Sus scrofa: one gene and its partners. The protein of the gene in region 3 interacts with the protein of the main gene of each other region in a pairwise test. Links are inferred from orthologs where the notes say so. Each region holds a gene or a part of one and is shown on either strand. Other genes may lie near its edges. The genes, in order: LAX1, KCTD6 and GRB7.

The links.
Region 1: the proteins of GRB7 (region 3) and LAX1 interact in binary tests that used the Homo sapiens proteins (3 or more experiments, as listed by UniProt). The two-hybrid records come from large-scale screens. The link is inferred for Sus scrofa from reciprocal best matches to the Homo sapiens genes GRB7 and LAX1.
Region 2: the proteins of GRB7 (region 3) and KCTD6 interact in binary tests that used the Homo sapiens proteins (3 or more experiments, as listed by UniProt). The two-hybrid records come from large-scale screens. The link is inferred for Sus scrofa from reciprocal best matches to the Homo sapiens genes GRB7 and KCTD6.

Annotation. Positions count from the first base shown.
Region 1 is NC_010451.4:64,459,053-64,463,396, forward strand, and holds the start of LAX1 (lymphocyte transmembrane adapter 1), read left to right. Parts: upstream 1-1,500; 5' UTR 1,501-1,930; intron 1,931-2,387; exon of another isoform or gene 2,388-2,436; 5' UTR 2,437-2,539; coding exon 2,540-2,628; intron 2,629-4,344. UniProt on the Homo sapiens protein: Negatively regulates TCR (T-cell antigen receptor)-mediated signaling in T-cells and BCR (B-cell antigen receptor)-mediated signaling in B-cells.
Region 2 is NC_010455.5:40,216,867-40,220,513, forward strand, and holds the end of KCTD6 (BTB/POZ domain-containing protein KCTD6), read left to right. Parts: exon of another isoform or gene 1-220; 5' UTR 221-263; coding exon 264-290; intron 291-1,790; coding exon 1,791-2,477; 3' UTR 2,478-3,225; downstream 3,226-3,647. UniProt on the Homo sapiens protein: Probable substrate-specific adapter of a BCR (BTB-CUL3-RBX1) E3 ubiquitin-protein ligase complex mediating the ubiquitination and subsequent proteasomal degradation of target proteins.
Region 3 is NC_010454.4:22,574,072-22,577,370, forward strand, and holds the end of GRB7 (growth factor receptor-bound protein 7), read right to left. Parts: intron 3,198-3,299; coding exon 3,087-3,197; intron 2,840-3,086; coding exon 2,741-2,839; intron 2,251-2,740; coding exon 2,170-2,250; intron 2,052-2,169; coding exon 1,935-2,051; intron 1,747-1,934; coding exon 1,686-1,746; intron 1,560-1,685; coding exon 1,472-1,559; coding exon of another isoform or gene 1,468-1,471; exon of another isoform or gene 1,386-1,467; coding exon 791-1,385; 3' UTR 508-790; downstream 1-507. UniProt on the Homo sapiens protein: Adapter protein that interacts with the cytoplasmic domain of numerous receptor kinases and modulates down-stream signaling. Promotes activation of down-stream protein kinases, including STAT3, AKT1, MAPK1 and/or MAPK3. Promotes activation of HRAS.

The DNA of each region.
Region 1 (4,344 bases), on a different chromosome or scaffold from region 3:
GGATGCAGGGCAGGGGCTGACATCTCAGGGAAGCCGGGCTGTCAGTGTCCACAGAGAAGATAAAAGAGGCAGATGACAGGGCATGGGCTGGCTTCCCTGCCGTCCAGCTGGGAATCCACTTCCTTGTGGAAAGTGAAGTCAGAGGATCTTCCTTCCTTCCTTCCTTCCTTCCTTTCTTTCTTTCTTTTTTTTTCTTCATAGTGCCATATCTGCGGCATATGAAGGTTCCCAGGCTAGGGGTCTAATAGCAGCTATAGCTGCCAGCCACAGCCACAGCCATGCCAGATCTGAGCCACGTCTGGTACCTACACCACAGCTCATAGCAACACCGGATCCTTAACCCACTGAGCGAGGCCAGGGATCAAACTCACAACCTCATCGTTTCTAGTCAGATTTGTTTCCGCTTCATCACGATGGAACTCCATCTTCTTCTTATTTTAATGGCCGTGCCAATGGCATATGGAAGTTGCTGGGCCAAGGTTTGAATCTGAGCCTCAGCTGTGACCTAAGCCACAACCGCAGCAATCCTGGATCCCTTAACCCACTTTACGGGACTGGGGATTGAAGCCATTGCTGCAGTCAGATACTTAACCCCCTGTGTCACAGCGGAAACTCCTAGAGGCTCTTCTCACCCCCTCAAAATAGTCTTTTCACACCCTTCTCCTTGGACTCTCCCAAGATGAAAGAGAGTGTCAGGAAATTGGTAAAAGGAAGAGGGGGAGGAAGCTAGAAAAAAGCTTTGAACAATCTTCAAAGTTTGGAGCACTTTGTGTAGACATAGCGTGGGGGCGGTGAATTTTCCAGCTTCTGAGACAGGTGCACAACCACCATCCTGGGATGGATCTTCTCTGAAAGAGCTCTGTGAGCAAGATGGCAGCAGCTACGGGCACGAGGGAGGCCCCCAAGGGCCCTGCTACCCCCATAGGAGCTCCATTGTGGCTCAGCAGTAACAAACCCGACTAATATCCACGAGGATGCTGGTTCAATCTCTGGCCCTGCTCAGTGGGTTAAGGATCCGGCATTGCTCTGAGCTGTGTAGGTCACAGAGGCAGCTTGTATCATGCATTGCTATGGCTGTAGCGTAGGCCGGCAGCTGTAGCTCTGATTAGACCCCTATGCCAGGGGTGCACCCCTAAAAAGACAAAGAAAGGAAGGAAGAAGGAGAGAGAGAGAGAGAAAGAAAGAAAAAGGAAAGGAAAAGAAAGGGAAGGGAAGGGAAGGGAAGGAAAGGAAAGGAAAGGAAAGGAAAGGAAAGGAAAGGAAAAGAAGCAGACCAGCTCGGTCAAAATCACCTGCGGTGTGTTTATGAAAACCACCCATCCCCCTCTGCACCCTCTACCCATGAATCAGCAGCAGGTGCCAGGGATCTGCGTTTGTTTCTAAAAAACACCTCCCAGTGCTCCTTAGACCTGCTTAAAGCACACAATGCAAATCTGGAGGCTTATAAAGCGCATAAATTCTCAGCAACCCCAGGTGAACAAATCGCAAACCCCACCACCTTGCCCCATCTTGAATCATGCTCCCCACAGACCACAGCCACCGGGAAGATGGGGCAGGCAAGTTTGCTTCTATCTTATTAAGAGCTGAGCAGCATTTCCTGGGCCCCAGGCTTCATTAGCACGTTGGTGGTGTTGCTTCCTGTAGCTGACTCTCTGTTTCCATTCTGGCAAACTGTTTGTTCTCTTCTCTTTGCTTTGGGGGTTGGGGGAAGATGAGCTTCTCACGGAACCTCTCTCCAGCTTCTCTTTCCCCCGCGGCACCCCTCATGCTCTGACGAGGCAGGGAACCCGGCTTCTCCCTGAGCAGCTGTGCTGGGGAGTCCACACCCGGATGAGCTCTCCCCTCTGGCATCGAAGACACATCCAGGTAGAACCAAACCTGTTTTGTATTTTGGGTCAGCTCAGCCTGACATTTCAGGAACAGACTCATGGTAAGGAGTTTGTTGGGGGAGAGAAAGTTCTAGATTGGAAGCTTTAGAAAGGAAGAAATAAAAACTAGTAGACTTTTTCTTGTGAGGGACTTTGATGAAGAAAATTTTAAGAAGAAATTTTGAGAGTAAAAAGTTGTACATTAGGGAGTGGGGTTTGTTTTGTTTTATTTTGTTGTGTCTTTTTAGGGCCGCAACCCCAGCATATGAGCCTCCCAGGCTAGGGGTCAAATCGGAGGTGTAGCTGCCAGCCTGCACCACAGCCACAGCAACACAGCATCTGAGCCGCATCTGCAAATTACACCACAGCTCACGTCAACACCGGATCCTCAAACGCACTGAGCGAGGCCAGGGATCTAACCCACATCCTCATGGATACTAGTTGGGTTTGTTTCCACTGAGCCGCAATGGAAACTCCTGCCATGCTTATCTACTAAAAATAAGTGGTTATACCACACAGGTATGTATGGAAAACACAAACCAATTCTGCCTTTTGTCCTGGGAGTCAGCAATTAAGGAAGAGCCAGGAAACGGGCAGACAGGCTGGCGAGCTAATGATGGTTGAGAGAAGGCTTGGAAGGAGAAGCTGAAGCCAGAGAGGGTCCGGGGATAATGGGCATGACCACGCCGGCCATCTCAGAGGTCAGAGGGAGGACCTCACAGCCCAGCACTCTACAGGGAACCCTCAGCACCCTGGACAGGTGAGTGGCCACGGTGGTGAGTGCTCCCCTCCGCTGATGTAGACAGAATGCCCTGCTTTACCCCAGCAGCGTGGCCAGCCTCACAACCAGGCTCGGGTCCCCAGAGACCACTTAATTCTAGGCTCAGCGGAGTTTGCTCAAAACCGCGGGGAGGAAAGGAATGGGCATTGAGGAGAAAAAGGCGTTGTTGGGGGAGAGGAACTGCGATAAGGCGGCGCTTCCTTAGAGCTGGCAGCCCTGGTTGAATTTCTCATGCTCAGAGGCCCGATGGCTGTCCTCTGTCTTCCTGCCCCAGGTCCCACCCATCACTCCTCAGAGAAACAAAAACAAAAACTAGTTCCCACCACGATGGACACAAAAGGCCCACTTTTTCCACAGATGTGTCTCTCGGTTCTAACATCTTGCTGTGACAGATGAAGCTATCTACAGAAAAAAAAACAAACTCATGGACACAGAGAACAGGCTTGGGGTTGCCAAGAGGGAGGAGGAGGGAGTGGGGTGGACTGCCAGCTTGGGGTGAGTAGATACAAAGTATTGCATTTGGAGTGGATACGCAATGAGATCCTGCTGTACAGCACAGGGAACTATATCCGATCACGTGTAGTAGAAGGTGACAGAGGGTAATATGAGAAAAAAAAAAATGTTTTTATACATATGACTGGGTCACTTTGCTGGACAGCAGACATTGACAGAACATTGTAAATCAACTATAACAAGATTTTTAAATAAAGAAAAACTTGCCATGAATAAACATGTAATCATAGGTATGCTAAAGATAGGTCTTTAGGACCTAGAATCTCACAGAACTCATTGTAGATATAAATTTTTATTGCCAAAGGCTTCCACACCGTATTAGCAAAAATAAAAAGTCCATCAGCTGCTGAAACTTTCACACTGGGAGGTATACATTTCTGCACTATGATAAGAGTACAATTTCTGTGCTATGATGAGAATACAGCAATAATATGTAATAATGTGATTTTAAATCACTGTCGTTTGGGGAGGTAATGTTATGACCCATGACAAACAAATACCCGTCACTGGCAGGTGGACAGGGGCACTGATGGGGAATGAATTCATAAAGTGTCAGAACCCTGCAGCGCCCCCCCCAGCTGTATTTTGTTATTCATTAATTTTTTTGCTAATTCATTCCTTCATTCAGTTAACAAATACTCATCAGGCCCCTACTGGCACTGCTCCAGGCACCAGATGAATAGGACAGACAAGTCCATGACCTCCTAGAGCTTACAGTCAAGTGGAAGAGTCAGATAGGAACAAAGGAACCCATGCACGGATCACATAATGTCAGCCAGCCATAAGTGCTATGAAGAAAAACCAAAGCAGACACAAGGGACTGAGAGTAGTAGGGTGTGGCCAGGGAGGATCAGTCTGAGGAGATGGCATTTCAGAAGAGACCTGAATGAAATGAGGGACTGAGCCATGGGAGAGGGAGTGGCAGGTCTGAGAGAGGACCGTGCTCTGCCAGGAAGAGCACGGAGGCCTGACCTTCGGGATCAGAGGGAAAGTGATAGGAAACAAGGCCAAAGGCAGCCAGAGGCCAGAACAGAAGATGCCATGATGTCCTCCTTGGGTAGGGACCATGGATGCCATCCCAAGTGTGACAGGCAATCATGGAAGTTTGCAAACAGAGGAGGAGCTCAATCTGGTTTACCATTTAGAGGCTCATGCTGGCTTGTGTGTGAAGATAGTTTGGGG
Region 2 (3,647 bases), on a different chromosome or scaffold from region 3:
GGGCTGTGTCTTAGGTACCCATTGTGGTAGGAATGTGGAAGGACCCATAGATGGCCCTAGAGGAATCCTTTCTTCTCCAGATCTTTGCCTTGTAGCAGGTTTTAGTTGAGCAAAAATGAGTAGTTTTCTGGTGTTTGGCCTACTCTGTTGGGTGAGAAAACCTTTCTTCTCTGTTTTCATGGTTACATGCTCTATCACATGTCTTTTTCTCTTCCCCAAGTTTCCCTGGAACCTGGGCTCCCCGAGACGCAGCACTGGAGCAGATGGATAATGGAGACTGGGGCTATATGGTGAGAGGCTTTTGCAGATGCATTCTGAAGTCTGGCAAATTATTTTTTGTGTCTTTTCCCCCTATGTAATATATTCTTAGGTATATTTCATAAGAATGAAAATTATAAGTGATGTAACTCTCCCAATTAATTTAGATGCATTTGGGGGGTGTTTTTATTTTGTTCAGTGTTTTTAGGTAAGCAAGCTAAACATGGAGTCTCTTTGTAACTTTTTATGACTTGTTTTTTCAGTCTTTATGTTGCTCCTAAAGCTCTTCCTTCATAGAATTGTAACTCTTCAGTGTCTAGTAGGTAACAAGAGAGGACAGGGAGTTCCTGTCGTGGTGCAGTGGTTAACGAATCCGACTAGGAACCATGAGGTTGGGGGTTTGGTCCCTGCCCTTGCTCAGTGGGTTAAGGATCCGGCATTGCCGTGAGCTGTGGTGTAGTTCGCAGACGCTGCTCGGATCCCACGTTGCTGTGGCCCTGGCGTAGGCCAGTGGCTACAGTTCCGATTTGACCCCTAGCCTGGGAACCTCCATATGCCGAGGGAGCGGCCCAAAGAAATAGCAAAAAGACAAAAAAAAAAAAAAAGAAGAGAGGACATTTTCTTGTGGTTGGGGAGGTTGACAGTTGAGAAGGTGCCACTTCTTTCACGAGCACAGGTGCAGGTGTCCTCCTATTATTTGAAAATGTTTGTTAAGAAATATTTTACTTGCCGAGTACCTATCTTTACTTGTCTTATTTTATTTCTTACATGTGATTTCTAAAACCAAAGGTAGGTATTATTTAGAGAAGCTTGCTTTTCAAAATTAAAGGCCAGATTGCCACATTAATGTTACAAAAGTAAATACACTATCAGATGACGCAAGTTGAAAGCTGCTATTAGCTTTCGGCTATATGAGATTGTATCGACCAAACTGTGTATTTTAAACTCAGTGTTTGGTACTGTTATTTCCATGAAAAAGGAAGATGAAGTCTACACAAACTGGAAAAAAAAAAACCAAAAACCTCATGATTCCCCTGCCTTTTTTTTTTTTGGGAGGAAAAGACAAAGAAATACTGAATGTAGATGTCTTTATGTTATTAAATAATTTTGATTCTATTTTATATTAAATTGAATTAAGAAAAAAAGAAAGTCTCTTTTTTAAAAAATCAGAATAAAACTTAAATGAGTATATTTTAGTTTGGCCTTTCTCTTCCCATAATATACTCTGACCTGAAAACTTCTTCCAGTTACTGGATCTGAAATTAAATGGCTTTGGAAGCTGTGTCCTCCTTTCTCAGTGTAAGGCTTTGAAAAATTGGACTTACCCTTTTTTTCTGTTGGAAACAAATGTTAGATCCCTTCATCTGGGTAGGTTTCACACTAAAAGTAAAGCTATTTTGCCTCAGTGGATTGCTGTGTTCTAGTCTGAAAGAATCTGTTGCTTTTTTTGTTACCATTAATTTTCTTAATTTGTCAAAGTTAAGATTTAAAAAAAAAATTGAGATGACTGATCATTTTTTAAAAAATTTCAGATGACTGACCCAGTCACGTTAAATGTAGGTGGACACTTGTACACAACATCTCTCACCACGTTGACACGTTACCCGGATTCCATGCTTGGAGCTATGTTTGGGGGGGACTTCCCCACAGCTCGAGATCCTCAAGGCAATTACTTCATTGATCGAGATGGACCTCTTTTCCGATATGTCCTCAACTTCTTGAGAACTTCAGAGTTGACTTTACCCCTGGATTTTAAGGAATTTGATCTGCTTCGGAAAGAAGCAGACTTTTATCAGATTGAGCCCTTGATTCAGTGTCTCAATGACCCCAAGCCTTTGTATCCTATGGATACTTTTGAAGAAGTTGTGGAGTTATCTAGTACTCGGAAGCTTTCTAAGTATTCCAATCCAGTAGCTGTCATCATAACCCAGTTAACCATTACCACCAAGGTCCATTCCTTACTAGAAGGTATATCAAACTATTTTACGAAGTGGAATAAGCACATGATGGACACCAGAGATTGCCAGGTTTCCTTTACTTTTGGACCCTGTGATTATCACCAGGAAGTTTCTCTTCGAGTCCATCTGATGGAATACATTACAAAGCAAGGTTTCACAATCCGCAACACCCGAGTGCATCACATGAGTGAGCGGGCCAACGAGAACACAGTGGAGCACAACTGGACTTTCTGCAGGCTGGCCCGGAAGACCGATGACTGACCTTCAGCCTGGGAGAAGTTCCTACAAATGGACTCCCCAAGGAGATTGAAGAGGCTGTTTTTTGTTTGTTTGGTTTTTGTTTTTGTTTTTTAAATCACAGTGTGAGGATTTTTTTTTTTTTTTAATATTTGTATTTATTTGAAGGCATTGGGGACCAGCAGGAAGTTTTGTGCTTTAGCAGACTCCTCTTTGTGTGGTTCCCTTCACCCTGAGTATGCATGTGCCTGTTCAGAGCCTCCAGATACCTTTTTTATAAAAAGAAGTCTGAAAATCATTATGGTATATAATCTATCCTTAACAACCCTTTTTTTATTACAGTGCTAAGATGATTTCTGATTAAACAGTTTCTAACTCAACTAGAAGGCTAAAAATGCAGGAATGAAAGAAAAAACGGAGTACTCATGATGATGCCTTTGAGAAAAATCAGAACATCATATAGGGTGACCTAGTTTTCAAACCAATAAGCAGTATTGTAATATTAAACGAAAACTGTTCAATCATTTAAAAGTACTTGTTAAGTACTGCTTTTACAGTTATGACAACTGTTTCTTTCTATGCATATAAATCAAGCAACCAAATATCTGTAGCCATGGAAATGTCTGACTAGAAATATTTATATTGGATTCTGAATACAAAATGTCCCTGTGGTAGAAATCTTACTTCTTAGGCCTGGTAAGGTATAATTCCCAAGTGTACTGTCTACCAGGAAAACAAAAAACCAATAATAAAAAATGAAATGTGAAAATTAGGTTTGTATTTATTGATTATTATTAAAGGGAGAAAATAATATTCCTTATCTAAAATATGCATTGTTTGTTTTATGCCATAATAGATACTGCCCCGTGTTGGTGGTTCAGTGAACAATTCTTGCCACCCAATAAATACTGCCTGAGGTACATTAGTATTTGATGCTGGAGGACTCAGTGGAACTTTAGAATGCAGTTGATAGAATTCTCTGCTGTTGAAGTAGCGAATTTATGGAATTATTAGTTTTGTCTAAAAGAGTGCATATTTGGACAATGAACATATAGTTTGCCAAATTTCTTTTGAATAGGACTTGTTTTGAAGATTTGTAGATTTTTCTTTAGTGAGCCACCAATTGCCATTGCTCTGTGACCCTTATTCCAGCTCTATGGACAAACTTGACTCTTCGGCCCCACAAATGTATTT
Region 3 (3,299 bases):
CCCTCTGTAGCTTTGGGTCCCATCAGGAAATCGCACCCGGATGAGAGTGCCTTGTCCATTCAGTCTTTTTTTGTTGTCTTTTTAGGGCGGCACCTTCGGCATATGGAAGTTCCCAGACTAGGGGTCAAATCGGAGCTGTAGCTGCCAGCCAACGGCACAGCCACAGCAGTGCTGGATCCTTAACCCACTGAGCGAGGCCCAGGGATCAAACCTGCGTCTCATGGATGCCAGTCAGATTCGTTTCAGCTGAGCCACGACAGGAATGCCTCCATTCATTCAACGAGCAATTCTTGGACATCGACTCTGGGTCAGGCTCCATGCTGGGCACCAGAGACTGGCAGACAGCCAGAAGCACCTCAAGAAACATCCAGCCCGGCCGGTAGGCAGCCTCAATCCATCCGACACCTTCGCAGGGCCTTAACTGGGGCCGACCTTTCCCCTCCCCCTCTGCCCTCTTCCCCTCTCTGCTCCGGCCTAGCCAGGTGGTGCCAGAAAAAAACTCACAGCTGTACCAAAAAATAATCTTTATTGTCACTAGTATAAAACAGAGAAGATCAACTGGCCTCTCGGTCTGTACAAAGTGTGGGGCCTAAAGACCACCTGAGCTGCCCCCATCTCTCCCATAATGCCCTACCCCAGAGCGGTGCCCGGGAGCTCCGTGAAGGGGAGGGGTCCACCCCAGGGCCCTCCCTTAAGGAGAAGGCGAGGGTGGATGAGGCGAGGGGCTGGGGGCGGGGGGCACTTCGGCCTGAAAGAGGCAAGGAGCAGAGAACACCCAGGTCCTGGGTCTTCACGGTGAGCCTGTCCCTGCCTTCTTCATGCTCCGGGTCCATCCTATATGCGGAGGGGTGGCGGCGTGTGGCCTGGAGTGGCTGAGGCGCGGGCCCGCCTGCCTGGTGCTCAGAGGGCTACACGGGTGCAGCAGTGGCGCAGCAAGCAGGGCAGGATGCCGCGGTTCAGCTGGTGGAACTCCACGAGCTGCAGCAGGTCGGTGAAGCGAGTCTGGCCGTCGTCCATGCTGAAGTAAAGGCGACCCTCCTCCTCGCTCTGGGGTGAGCGGCCAGAGGGGTGGCAGGTCAGGGAGGGGCGCCAGGCTGCGGGAGCTCCCTCCTGGGCCAGGGCTGAAGTCCCCCAGTGCTTTCGCAGGAGAAAGCAAAGAACAGGAGATCCCAGACCCGGGGGTGGGGGGTGGGGTGGGGGGCAGGGAGGGGATGCCTCTTGAGAGGGCCTGAGAGGAGGACAGGGTGCTGGCAGTCCTGTGTCTCCACTGCAGGAACCCGGGACTACTCACTGGCAGGATAAGGTAATGCTTGACTTTCTGCACGTGGCACAGAGAGAGGACAAAGCCCTGTGGGTTCCGCTGACTCTCTCGGACCAGGAACAGGCTGCCAGGAGACAGGGCACCATGACCCAAAGACACAGGGCTGCCACTTCGACTGAGGTCTCTGCCCGGCCCAGCACTGCCCCTTACCCGTCTACCAGGCCCTGCTGCCCGATGAGCCGCTGGCTCTCCTCGCGGGAAATGCGTCCATGGAACCAAGGCTGGGTGCGGTGGATGGCTGGGGTGAAGGGAGGCAGATGGACGGTCACTCCGGGGCAGGGACCCTCGTTCTAACCACCCCCACTGGGGGCGCTCAGAGAAGCCACGGCAGCCCCACCCCTGGGGACGCTGGGCCCTCACCCACCTGCACTGAGGCTCGTGCCTGAGGATGGGGTGGGCAGGCTGAGGCGGTGGTTCGTCTTCTTCTGCAACACAGTGGGGGACACAAGGGGTCAGGGCGTGGCTGGGGGATCAGCGGCCCCTCAGGGATACAGAGCCCTCCTTCTGAAGCTGCCCCCCACCCCCCGGCCCTCCCTTTCATCTTCCCACTCCATGGAACCTCGTGTGGGGAGCAGTTCCCAGGATCGACATGCAGATGAATGCAAACCCTCACCCTCCAGGCCTGGGCCTCCTCCAGGGCGGCACTCAGAGCCTCCCGGGGGTTCTCGATGACACGACCAGCATGGCCGGAGAAGTCCATGGCCACCAGCGTGTTGTCCGAGACGCTCCTCTGCAGGTGGGAGAGGATGGGGTGGGTGGAGGGGCAGAACAGGACCAGACTATTCCTGGCACAGGGCTTGGGTGCCTCCCCCGACCCATCCCCCGCTAACACCCCTGTGCTCACTCACCAAGGGTGGGGAACCTGCACAGGACGGGCGCAGGTGGCGGGACTGTGCCTGCTGGTAATTCTTATACAGCTGCACCCCATACTGGGGGATGGAGAGAGAACGAGGTGATGGGGGGGCTGGGCCATGACACCCCCCAGACCAGGTCTTCCCAAGGGCAGGTCTCTATCTCTGCCCCTGGATAAGGGGCTTCCTAAACCAGAGCTGTGACTCCAGCTTTGGACCAAGGATTCTTTTTTTCCTTTTACAGCCGCGCTTGTGGCATATGGAAGTTTCTAGGCTAGGGGTCGAATTGGAGCTGTAGCTGCCAGCCTACACCACAGCCACAGCCATGCCGGATCTGACCTACACTGCAGTTTTCGGCAACACTGGATCCTTAACCTACTAAGGAAGGATGCATCCTCACAGACGCTATGCCAGGGTCTTAACCCACTAAGCTGCAACAGGAACTCCAGACCAAATTCCAAGAGAGCAAGGCTGTGATGCCCCCTCCTTCTAGAGACTTCCTGAGGGCAAAGCTATAACTCCTGCCTGACACCAGGGATCCTGAGATGGGCCCAGGCCAGGATCTCACCTTGAAGAGGCGGAAGGCAGCTAACCAGCAGGTACGGCTCTGCTCGTCCTCGCTGCAGAAGATGCGAAGGCCCTTGTGGCCATTTCGAAGCTTGTTTGGCTGTGGGGAGAGGAAACTGGCTGGTCCCACATCTGCCTAGACCAGGTATCGTTTCCTGTCTCCGTGGGGAGAGGAAACTGGCTGGTCCCACATCTGCCTAGACCAGGTATCATTTCCTGTCTCCGTGGGGTAGGGCAGGGAGCAGGGAGAGGGGTCTGGGTGTCCCCGAGGGAGCTCAGAAGCCCCAGCTAGGTTCCCCAAGCCTGAGCAGCTCCCACTCCCTGCCAGGCCAGGCCACACTCTTCACCTTGATGCAGAAGCCGAAGTCCGTGGGCATCCCGTACAGCTTGCGGCCCTGGGTCACCACGTACACATTGGACTCGTTCACATCGGCCACATACTGCAGGTGCCTCGGATCCTGGGCAGTGGGAGGGAGCGGGACTTGGTTCAGGCAGGCCCATCCCCCATCACTGCCCCCCTAAGCCATGGGGAGGAGGGGACAGAGGGATGCAGAGAAGTG